3 linked regions of the Oryza sativa Japonica Group genome follow. The protein of the gene in region 1 binds, or shares a complex with, the protein of each later gene. Links are inferred from orthologs where the notes say so. Each region holds a gene or a part of one and is shown on either strand. Other genes may lie near its edges.

Evidence for each region.
Region 2: mediator of RNA polymerase II transcription subunit 30 (region 1) and mediator of RNA polymerase II transcription subunit 4 share a complex: the UniProt entries of both Arabidopsis thaliana proteins name them as parts of the mediator complex. The link is inferred for Oryza sativa Japonica Group from reciprocal best matches to the Arabidopsis thaliana genes AT5G63480 and AT5G02850.
Region 3: mediator of RNA polymerase II transcription subunit 30 (region 1) and mediator of RNA polymerase II transcription subunit 21 share a complex: the UniProt entries of both Arabidopsis thaliana proteins name them as parts of the mediator complex. The link is inferred for Oryza sativa Japonica Group from reciprocal best matches to the Arabidopsis thaliana genes AT5G63480 and MED21.

Annotation. Positions count from the first base shown.
Region 1 is NC_089038.1:19,469,276-19,473,460, forward strand, and holds the start of mediator of RNA polymerase II transcription subunit 30, read right to left. Parts: upstream 2,839-4,185; 5' UTR 2,769-2,838; coding exon 2,352-2,768; intron 1,923-2,351; coding exon 1,845-1,922; intron 169-1,844; coding exon 70-168; 3' UTR 1-69. UniProt on the Arabidopsis thaliana protein: Component of the Mediator complex, a coactivator involved in the regulated transcription of nearly all RNA polymerase II-dependent genes.
Region 2 is NC_089043.1:25,716,257-25,719,756, reverse strand, and holds mediator of RNA polymerase II transcription subunit 4, read left to right. Parts: upstream 1-1,333; 5' UTR 1,334-1,408; coding exon 1,409-2,653; 3' UTR 2,654-2,974; downstream 2,975-3,500. Other genes in the region: histone-binding protein MSI1 homolog, read right to left, coding at 533-1,156. UniProt on the Arabidopsis thaliana protein: Component of the Mediator complex, a coactivator involved in the regulated transcription of nearly all RNA polymerase II-dependent genes.
Region 3 is NC_089042.1:2,024,982-2,029,081, forward strand, and holds mediator of RNA polymerase II transcription subunit 21, read right to left. Parts: upstream 2,789-4,100; 5' UTR 2,674-2,788; coding exon 2,350-2,673; intron 2,049-2,349; exon of another isoform or gene 1,966-2,048; intron 1,829-1,965; coding exon 1,757-1,828; intron 1,484-1,756; coding exon 1,432-1,483; intron 1,318-1,431; coding exon 1,241-1,317; 3' UTR 1,230-1,240; intron 761-1,229; 3' UTR 527-760; downstream 1-526. Other genes in the region: major pollen allergen Ole e 10, read left to right, coding at 1-83, 176-201. UniProt on the Arabidopsis thaliana protein: Component of the Mediator complex, a coactivator involved in the regulated transcription of nearly all RNA polymerase II-dependent genes.

The sequences.
Region 1 (4,185 bases):
TACAATTTTGCATTAACATACTTCTAGCTATGATTTTTGGATTCCTAAAGGATAAATGCCGATGAGTTTTCACACTGAGCAAGGACTCTGCCACATTGATATGTCCGATATTAAATCATGGAGTTGGTCGATAAGGAGCTTTACATGCTTGTTTTTGCTTTCAATTTCCTGCAGTAAACATCCTGTATTAGACTGGTTTACGGTACCAGAGAACAGTATGCCACATTACTAGGTTGAAACAAAAAATGTATTATATATGTCAAAAGCGTGAGGACTCAAAACTTCCACAGACCATGATACCACGGGCATATATAGAAATCTGAACTAGGACACATGGGATCAGCTAATTGAGATTGTACTGACCAGTGTATGTTTAAAATGAAATGCTTTGAACTTTTTAGGAACAAACTATGTAATCGAGGCATTAGAGAACACTGTTTGCTACATAGTTATTAGAACTAGACCAGACCAGTGGTCCGATCAGAAAAAAAGGGAACCAGGGCGTTGGCTGGTCCAGTCCAGCTAAAAGATCGTTGAGCAAACAGACCGGCAAAAACCCATTGAACCGGGCGGTTTTCTGCAGAACCAGACAAAAACCGAAGGTGGTTCGACTGCTGGAGGGTGTCACGTGGAGTTAGAGAAAATAGGAAAAAACCTGCTGAACTGAAGATCGAACCAAGACCTCCTTGCTTCCACGGAGAGTCTCAGCCGGCTATGTCACATGTTGTTCTAGTATTCTAACACACATCTATTTGAACCGCTTTAAACCGGCGGTTTGACTGGTCCGACCAATAAACCAGTGAACCGAGTACCCTAACAGTTCGATCACCGGTCCGGTCTTAATAACTATGGTTTGCTACACTTCAAACATAGGAGTACATGAAAATCACTGATCTCAATAAATCATACAAATGGAACTGAATAAGCCACAAATCCATTTTTCTATACACATTTATACACATCAAGGAGAATAATCTGTATTTATGCTATAATGATCTAGCATAGATAAGGAGTAGTTGAGACTTACAAGGCCATTACAGCCAACAGCCCTCCAAAGGATGAAAAGGATTTGCTAAATAGTCCAGAATCCAATTAGCATCAAAGGTGGATTTGCAAAAACTTACTCCCTCTGTCCCAAAATAACAAACCTAGTAACAGACCCCTATCCAGATTCCTAGTATTAGGGTGTGTCACATTCCATACTATGTTTATTTATTTTGGGACGGAGGGAGTAAGTTCTAAACTAGCAGGCAAATCCAAGTATGCAAACAATAATGACATGCAGTATCCAGTGCAGAAAAAACAATGATAAGATAACAACTTAACAAGCATGAATATTGCCAGGAAAGATCAAGATGGAACGCTTTTTTGACGAGTTCAACAGAATGAACATGACTATCCAAAACACTACAAGCAACACAGTATCACAGCTTGCCAAACTAGATCCTGGCTATCTAAAATGGTTTCAGGTAAAAATTGGGGATTACACTCTTCTCAGGACTTTTTGAATTAAAATGATTGAAGCATAAAAGGAACATATATATATATATATATATATATATATATATATATATATATATATATATATATATATATATATATATATATATATATATATATATATATATATATATATATATATATATATATATATATATATATATATATATATATATATATACACACACACACACACACACACATTATGTTCAAAACAGGTTGTTTGGGAAATATTTGGGATTGACATGGCTAAATAAGCACCAGTTACCAACTGGTTCAGGGAAAAATTCTGAATACAGCAAAATGATATTGATTATATTGCTAGAACATTCCCAAGATAGTACCTTTCTCAAAGCAGATGCATGTTCTTCCAATCTCTCAATCTCAGCTTGATCAGCTTTGTGTTCTGTCGATCCCATCTCCTACGAAGAAAACCACAACATCATTACAAAGAAGTAAACTGTTATGAGGTTTCTCCATAGCACCATATTTTGCACATCAGGATTACACTTACTGCTAAAAATAGAATCATATAAAACTACTATTTTTGTCTCATGAACATTGAACACTAAAAGCTCATGTTGATTGAAACATATATATAGTCCACATCCATGTAGTCCGAACCTACATCACAACATCCCTTACATTCCCTTACATTGGTATCAATAATAAGAAATTTTCTTTTGCAAAAATTATTTGGCTCCCTTACCTATGTATAAGCACCTAACTTGATATCAACAAAGAGTGCAATACGTTTCACAATTTCCACTAGACGATCACTAGAAACACGCATTTCGTGGTTGCATACATACTACGGGAGCATGCAATGTCGGGTAAATTCGTGTGCTGACCTGAGCACAGGACGACACGGCGGCGATGGACGTGCGGAGCGCCGCCATGGCGACCTTGTACCGGTGCCTGGCCTCGTCGAGCGACCCGCCGGAGCCCGGCGCGCCCCCGGGCCCTCCCCCGGCGGCGTCGGCGGCGTCGGAGTCCGCGGAGTGCAGCGGCGGCGGCGGCGGAGGGAGACCGCCGTGGTGGTGGTGGTGCTGGTGGTGGTGGTGGTGGTTGTTGCCGTGGTGCTGGAGTCCGCCGGCGCCGCCCGCCGCGGCGGCGGCGGCGGAGGAGGAGGACCAGAGCGTGGGGTTGCAGAGCTCGTCGTTCATGGAGGAGAGGATCTGGAACGCGGCGGCGATGGTCTCCTCCAGGTGGCGCTGCCCCTCCGCCGCCATCTCCTGCCGCCGCCGCGCCGCCGCCGAGGAGGCCATCGCCGGAACCCTAGCCGATCTGCTCCTCCTCTCGTCGGCGCTGGCTGTGAAGTGAACTAAGCTTAGCTTCAGAGCCCAACATAGTCCAAAAGCCCAAAGGATATGTTGATTTTGGGCCGAAGCTCGAAGCCCAGGCCTGGCCTTATCAGGGCCCTAGTATTTGAGCGGAATAAGTCCAATTTGTCTCCCTCGACTATAGGTCCAATCTGATTCGTTCTCCCTTAATCGCAAACCGTGTATATCGAACCCTCGGCTATTAACACCGGTGAATAAAAAAACTCTTTTTAGTTATTTTGAGGGTGGTTTTCGTTAACGTGGCTCATTGAACTGGTCTAACCGATTAAGTCAGCATGTGGGACCCACATGTCGTCCCCTTCTCTTTCTCCTCATGCTTTTGTTTTTTCTTTTCTTCCCTCTCCTTTCTCCACGCGGTGACGAGCTCAAGCATGAATAGTGTCAGTGACTTAGACGACAAAGCCACCACCGACACAACCAACTAAGCTTGGTTCTGTTGGCAACCTTGTGGAGCAAAGGAGGGAAGGGCCACAGCGGTGATGGAGAGTCGGAGAGGCCCAGTGCTGCCGTAGATGTCCTCTTCATTGTGGGCTCCAACGGTTGCCACACCGAGGCCCCTCACTGATCTGGACAAAGCCGGGTCCCATCAGTGTTTCTCCTTCACAGATCCGAGCCTCAAGCCACTTCCCCTTCTCTCTGTCGCCTCCTCTAATCCGACGTCCTTTTCCCACCTTCACCTCTATCAACGCCTCGGTTAATAAGGCCTAGCAATGGACAAGGATGGTGATTGACCTCGCTGTCATCGAGATCTAAGAGTCCTTCTCCTTTATATGTTGTGGAGCCATACATGGCAATAGTGAGGGAGAGAGAGAGGAGGGTCACGTGCATATCTCTGCATGGCCAAGGGATAGCCACCACCCGTCGGAGGACAAGGGGTAGATGTCGACGAGCTCTTGTAGTCATCATTGCCACCGAGGGGGAGGTCATCCTCGATGGCTCGCTGGAGCACGTCGTCCATGTCGTTGACCTTAATGACAGACTCAAGCTGTAGGCAATGGCGAGCACATGCCCCCTATCCTTGGTGGGCGTGGCAACCTTGTTCCGCTACCGTTCTTGGTGAGGGCAACGAGGCAAATCCAATGAGGCAAGCGAGCTCGATCTTGATGAAGCTTCTCCAGAGATAGGAAATGTCGACATGTGTGTCCTCGATTGCTGGAGTCCAACGTCTCCCGCCCGTCTCTAGCCACCTCTTAGACGACACTTCGTTTGCTCCACCGTACCGAAGAGCGGTGGTCGGTGTCCTCTCCTGATCCCAGGAAGGGGGTGGAATGGGAATTGGGAAGAGTCACCTTCGTCAGATGCTCAGTGGCATCCCTATCGTCTTCCCTTGTTCTACCGACCG
Region 2 (3,500 bases), on another chromosome or scaffold:
TCTTTCCACAATTACATTTAAAACATCCCAATTTCATGATGTTTGCTAATCAGCTCAGGTGCCTTCTAGAACGCTCACATAAAAAAAACTCAGTGATCTGTTTATGCATAATAGAATTGTTCCTCACACCAAGAGATGATTGTTTGTGCTTAAAATGCAGCTATGGAAATGGAACCATGTTCTCTTCTCGACTAGTTATTCAATTGCTGTGTCCTTTCTCCTACGCAGTGCAATTATCTACTCTGGAATTGTGCAGTTATTTCAGTTATAATGATTCTCTTCCAACATTTAGGAAAGACCAGAAACAGTTCAATTTCATTATTTCAATATTGTTTACTAAGAGATCTGGCAGATCAAAATTTGTTTACTGAAAAAAAAAAGGGGAAGAAACAATCGAAGCATCCTTACTAAATGAATTGGATTATGAATTACGAATCATTGCTCAACTGCATCGTATAATGTAACATTTAACGACTGTAAATGTTTACTGCAAAATGGAATGAGGGGAGGGGGGCATTTGACGGCGCATTACCTCGAACACATGATGTGCATCCAGAGACGAAGCTCCACTCCCAGCAGCGAGATCCCAAAGGCAAATCTTCTTATCATACGAGCCGCTCAGCAGCAACCCCTCCTTCATCGGACTCCACGCCAGCCCATACCCCTCCGCTTCATGCCCCCTGAGCACCACATCGGCGCCGCCCTTCTCGCCGCCGTCGCCAAGATGGTACACGTGCACCTCATCCACGCAGGTCTTGGTAGCCACCGTGTACGGCCTCTGCGGCATGCAGCGGGCGCGGTTGACCTCGCCCTTGTGCGGCACCGAGCGGGAGATGGACACGGACGGGGCCGGGACGGCACCGCCCGCCGCCGCGGCCGCCGCCGCCAGGCGGGGCGGGAGCGGGAGGGCGGCGTCGGCGAGTAGGAGGTGGTTGGGCGTCTCGTCGGAGGTGTGGGTGCCGAGGACGAGGCGGTGGGAGCGGGCGGAGCCCGGCGACCGGGAGTGGGAGGGGAGCCACTGGACGGTGAGCGACGGCCACTCGAGCGGCTGGGAGATGACGAGGTCGTAGAGCACCGGCGCGTTCTTCTTCCAGTTCTGGTGCTCCTCCATCTCCGCCGCCGACGACCTCGCCGCCGTGGAGGACCCGCCGTCCATGGCTCTTCTCTTGCGAATTGCGCGGGAAGTGGAGGCGGCGCTGTGGTGCTCTCCCGCCAAAAAGATTGGGGAGACGATGCGGCGGAGTCAGAAGAGATGGTGTTTTATGGCCGAGTTAATGGGCTTTTATGGGCCGTAAAGCCCATATAATACAATTTGGAGGCCCATTAGCCCATTAAGAGGAAATTTTGTCTAGTAGCTTCTGCCTCGCGTCCGTCTCCTGCATCCGCAGTCGCCGCCGCCGCCGCCGCGATGATGCAGTCGCACCACCCCTCGCCGGCGCGGCTGGGGCTGACGGCCTCGTCGCCGTCGCTCCCGCCCAACCCGGCTGCGGGGAATCCCACCTCCTCGCCGCCGCAGGGCAACCCTAGCGCGGCGGCGGCCGTGGGCGCTGCCGCTGCCGCTGCACCAACCCTAACTACATCGCCGTCGCTGCTGCCGCTCCTGCCGCCGCTCCCGCGGGCGCAGGCGCTCCTCCAGCTGATCTCCGCGCTCGCCTCCAACCTCTTCGAGCTCTCGCCGAGCCGCGCCGCGTGGATCTCGGCGTACCGGGGGTCACTCCCCACTTTCCTCCCCTCGCCGTCCTCCGCGCCGCCGCCGCCGCTCCCGGCCCCGATCTCCTCCACCAAGGAGGCGCTGTCGCTGCTCAACACGCTCCAGACCCAGCTCTTCGAGGCCGTCGCCGAGCTGCAGGAGACCCTCGACCTGCAGGACGCGCGCGCGCGCCTCGCCCGCGAGGCGCGCGCCAAGGACGCCTCGATCCTCGCCTTCGCCAAGAAGCTCCGCGAGGCGCACCACGTGCTCGACCGCCTCGTCGACGACTACGCCGACTACCGCCGCGACCCCAAGCGCCCGCGCGGCGCCGCGGCGGCGGACGACCCCGAGCCGGTGTCAGACGGCGACTTTGGCGCGTCGCTGCACTCCAAGCTCAACCTGGACGACGTCCTGACGTACGCCCACCGCATAAGCTACACGACCTTCGCGCCGCCTGAGCATGGTGCTGGGCTGCCTCTGCGTGGGGCGTTGCCGCCTGCTCCTCAGGAAAATGAGATGAGGATGTCGCAGCTGTATCAATTTGCGGATTTGGATGTTGGAGTGCCGAAATCCCAGGAAGCAAAGGAGAGGACTGCAGCAGAGGGAGATGCCACTCCGCTTTTTCAGCCTTCACCAACCCAGGAGGCAGCTGTGCTACCAATCACTGTGCCGCATCCGCATGGGTGGCGGAACGGGGCGCTGCCTCTCGAAATCCCGTTGCCGCCGCCTGGATGGAAACCCGGGGACCCGATCACTCTACCGCCGGATGGCATTCTGGCTGGTGTCAAGGGTGAGGAGCCACGGGCCAGTGTGCAACAGATGCCGGTTGTGGTGCCAGCAATGGTGCCGAAGGCACAAGAACCGATACAGGTTCGGCATGTTGATCTTGACATTAACAATAGTTCTAGCAGTGATGAGTACAGTAGCGACGTCGGGAGCTCTGAAGAAGATGATGAGGATTAGTTCCTTGGTAAGCTATTTTATGATTCATGTTTCCATGCCGTTGTAGGTCATGTACTAGTAAGAACAAATAATGCAAGCTCTCATACATGATTATTCAAGATCATGCAGCAATATACTGGTATTGAATAGAATTGGGTGGCGTATCATGTATGTGTTGATTAATTAAACCATCTCACTAGTCAATTTGCTTCGATATATGTAATCAAGCATGATGGTCTAATTTCCTCAGGATGTGCTGGTGTTGTATCGTCAGAAACATGGCTTCTTTTATGGATATTTAAACTTGAACATGGTGTGTTTAATGTTTGATGCCCTTCTTCACAGATTACAGGTTTCAGTCATAATTGCTTGCTAGGCTTGCTAGCTGGTTATGGGCTTTTCAATCAAGTAATGACTTCCATGTTCATGCACTCTGCTTAATTTTTCTCATTGTTTTACCTTATGTCTGTACCTCTTATTGCTGCAATATAGTTTGAAAACCTTTATACCATTGTACCAAAGAGTGGTAGCTGAAAACTCAAGAATGTTCTATAACTCAAGCTATATAAGTTATGAGAAGGGAGTGGTTTCAACTTGTAAGTTTGCACTTAAATGAACACACCATTTTTCCTATCTTATTGCACAGCATGGGGGATCTTCCTACTACAAACATGATACTAGTACTATAGGTCTTAGTTTTCATTCACGAGCTTATCTTGCAGATGATAAAGTAGTAATTGACTCAAATGGGTTAGAACTGCCAAAGCATCATCAGAAGTAACTCCTTTTATAATTTTATTGGTGCATATCGCATCTTTATGTACTTTTTTTTCCCAATTCAAGAGCTGCATGGTTATCAAAGCGGTCT
Region 3 (4,100 bases), on another chromosome or scaffold:
GAACGCTTACTACCAGGCCAGGGGGAGGAACTCATGGAATTGCTTCTTCAACGGCACTGGCCTCATCACCATCACTGATCCCAGTAAGTATTAGCCTCTTCAAAGCTTGCTTCACTTGCTGTTTCTTTCACCTGAATCCTGCAAATTTACATGGCTTTCTTGCCAACCTTTGCAGGTTCTGGCAATTGCAAGTATGCCTGAGTTGAGAGTTTGCTCCAAGTTAGCCAGCCAATCTCTGGAGCTTGACAAATAAAGTTTTCAAGGGATGTTTTGTTTGTCCAAGTGCCCCTAGAAAATATGGTGTTCTATATTTCAGTGTCAGAGTTGCTAGAATTCAAGTCATGTTTAGCCTCAATGTTTGGGTAATCTTTAGAGAGGAATGCTTTATACCGAGATAATATTGTTCCATATCTTCAGTGCAGTTCTTCAAAGTTCAAAGAGTATGAATCCTAGGCATGTCTTAATTGTATTTGCATAGCACTATATGGTCCTGTGCTGCTGTGAACGAACAGTGGCCCAACTATAATAAATAAACATGAAGTTATGCTCAAATTATTTCAGATTAAACGAACCAGCTTGAAACTATTCAAGTTACTGTAAATTACAGTGCTAGGTTTAATTCCTAATCCAACAAGTACTACTGGAATATTGTTGAGCATCAGCTAACTTGATACTAAAACTGAGTCTACATGTAGCATCGGCAGCTGGCATTCACATCTCCACCTTCATCTGTTCATGACTCCAAAATGGGTTCCGTTACCTGATATGACAGGAAAGCAAACATAAGTCATTTTAGTGATACTACGATCATACGTAACAACACTGTGTTGGAATTTTCTGATCAACAGAAAGACAAGCCCCCAGAGGGTTTTATGAAAGCATCTTGCGAGGGATTAATATAACAGGTCAACATCCACCATAATTATGTTTTGTTCAGGCCATCATCGTACATAAACTACATAAACCAATAATTGATCATGGACATGATGCCAACAGCCATCTAGTAAATGGTGCATGTAGAATATTGTACTGCAAAAAGCACCATAAGAACAAAATTGTTATCAGTATCCTGACTTCCTGATAATACAGTGTACCAAGTTTGGGAAGTCAAGCGGATTATACAGCTGGTCACAAAATAATCCCATATCATAAGCGCAAGCATAATTTTTTGCAAGCACAAAAAAAGCTAAAGATTTATTGAGATAGTGAAGGGAGAAATCCAAACTTACATTGATAACTATTACTCTGGCTTCTTCAAGTTTATACAATGATCTGTAGCTTCATTAAAAAGAGCCTCAACTTGCTTCAGCTCCAGCTCTACAAAAGCAACAAGACATGTAAAACACTGGACTTGTAAATAATCAGTTGTAACATGGTGAGGAATTATATAATGAAGGCAAAATATTCCAAGAATGTAATAGCAAAGCATACCAGCAGCTTCCAGTTGTTTCTGAAGCTCTGTGCCTACAACTTCATTCTCTGCCTGCGCATTTCAAATTCATAAGCATTTTAGCTGCAGGACACAAGTATCATGAATACTGATACTATGGCAGGACATGCTGCCGAGCGTCTGCTAAACCTTCATTCAGAAGAAAGCAAGCGACTAAGGAGGACAACCTTAGTATGAAACTCCATCCACAAGGCGTAGGAAAAAAAAAACAGAAGGAAACATGCACAAAGATACCATCTTCACAAGACACTAGCTTAATGTCACCCTTTCACAATGTACTGCTCAGAGGGCAAAACTGAGACATACCTGTAGCTCTTTAATTCTTTTCAGCTGATCCTCTTCAGATGATAGTGGCAACGCAGAAACAAGAGCATCAAACTGCATAAAAAAACCAAAAAAAAAAGAGAACGGTATTGGAAACAGTAGCTAGTAGCACATTTCAAGTGTACTCTCAGATGCAAAGTTTGCCCTCTGGAGACAGAGGTTGGTGTGCTGCATACCATCATCCCACCTACATTTTGCGAGGAACAGTACAAAGATTGGTGTGATCCACATCATCGTCAACCCTTCTTTGCGAGGAATAATATGAGTGAAGCTCCTATTTTGCAGATCCATTCAAAATTATCTCGAGAGGGCTAAAAAACAGCACAATGCAACTAAAGTACTCTACCACACTACATGAACAATCTCACTATAGAAGATATGATTCTGTAAGTAGAAGAATTTTCAAAGAACCAGGCACCCTGACCGTGGTTGCAATCACACAAAAATGCTAAGGCTGGTCACACCAAAAATTACAGTCCAAGCCCTAAAGCGTCAGACCCCAAGAACCAGCAGGCACTCAGGCATTTCATCGAGCAGGTGGCAAGCAGAGAAGATAAGCGACGGAAGACGCGTACCTTCTTGGCGGCGAGGACGAGCGCGTGGCTCATGGCCTTGGGATGCTCGGCGAGGTCGAGCGCGGGCGGCTGGGCCTGCGCCGGCGGAGCCTGTGCCTGCGCAGCCGGAGCTCCCGCCGCCGCCGCCGCCGCCGCTCCAGGCTGCGGCTGGGCGGGGTCGTCGGGGTTAGGGTTTGCTGCTGCGGCGGCGGCGGGGTTGAGCGGGTCCGGGTAGTTGTTGGAGAGGCGGACCGGCGGCGCGTCCCGCTGCAGCGTCCCGAAGGTGTTCACCGCCACCATCGCCATCTCGTTCAGCTGCTCCTGCAGCTGCGAGATGATGTCCATCTCCGGCGATCTCGTCCCCCTCCTCGCCGCCGGCGACCTCCTCCTCCTCCTCTTCTCCCTCTCCTTCTCTCTCCTCCTCCTCTCTATCCACCAAGGCCCAATTACATCTAGGCCCATCAAAGAAAACTGGTGGGCCCAGCACATCGACAGTGCGCAAGCCACTCTCTGACTGGCACGTGGGCCCATGGCTAGCTTGATTACGAAGGAACCAAGGGACCCCACGCGGAAAATTGCATCACATCACCACCACGCGTCCAGATCTGATCCACACACAAATGGATCGGACGGCCCAGGATTAAACCAAACTATTACTAACAATTAACTCACCCGATTAGTTAACACTAATTGAATCGGACTTGGACTCTAATCTAGACTAATATAAAAAGCACGAGTTGTTTAGTGTAATTAACACCATGATTGCAATTAGCGCCGGATTAATCCTGCGGTTACAATTAGCACCGGATTAACACCGCGTCTTGCTCCGAAAAAAGAAACTGCACGCCAAAAAGAACGAAAAAAAGAACGCACGCCAGCCACGCCGCCCGCCTCACCTGCCGCCCGCGTGACTTCCCACCTCGCCTCACCCGACCATGCCAGGCCTCGCCGCCGCCGACAATGTGACTTCCCACCTCGCCTCACCCGACCATGCCGGGCCTCGCCGCCGCCGCCGACCATGAGCCTCACCCGCCGCCCGCGTGACTTCCCACCTTGCCTCACCCGACCATGCCGGGCCTCGCCGCCGCCGACCATGAGCGAACTCCACGAGCAGCGCCAGCGACCGACCCACGCTGCCCGGATCGGAGGCGAAGGACAACAGCCCGGGGCCGCCTTCATCGACGCCGTGCGCGCCCAGTCGATCCACGGGAGCGCGGCCGCGGCCGCAGAGGCGGCGGGGGAGCGGTAGGTGATGACGTGGACGCGGCTCCTCGTGCTACCGGCGAGCGGGACAGGAGGAGGAGGAGGAGCGCGAGGGCGGACGCGGCGGCCGCGGCCACGGAGGGAGCCTATCATGGAGGAAATGGTCTGAGGAGGAGGAGGAGCTAGGGTTGTCGCAGCCTCTTCAATGGTGATCTCCTGCAGGAGGCGAACGGGAGCAAGTATCAGCAGCAGAAGCTGGGTGGTGTGCCCTCGTCGCAGCCGCATCATCTGAATGTGAGTGACTCCACAAGAACGAGAACCCTGAATTGAATCTGACATTTACCATTGTTCTTGCATCATTCATCCAGTGGTAACGTTTTACATGTCTTGGATTGTTGGATGACATTGATTTCAACACTGGAAAATTGTTGTTTTTTGCTTCGGGACAGCAGCAAGTTACCCCAGCATTGACAGCCTGCAGATCGACCACAAGCCGGCGACTGCGGCGGGACGCCAGTTCGGCTCGGCCTCCTCTCCTCCTCCTCCGCCGCCGCCGCCTCCGAACCATC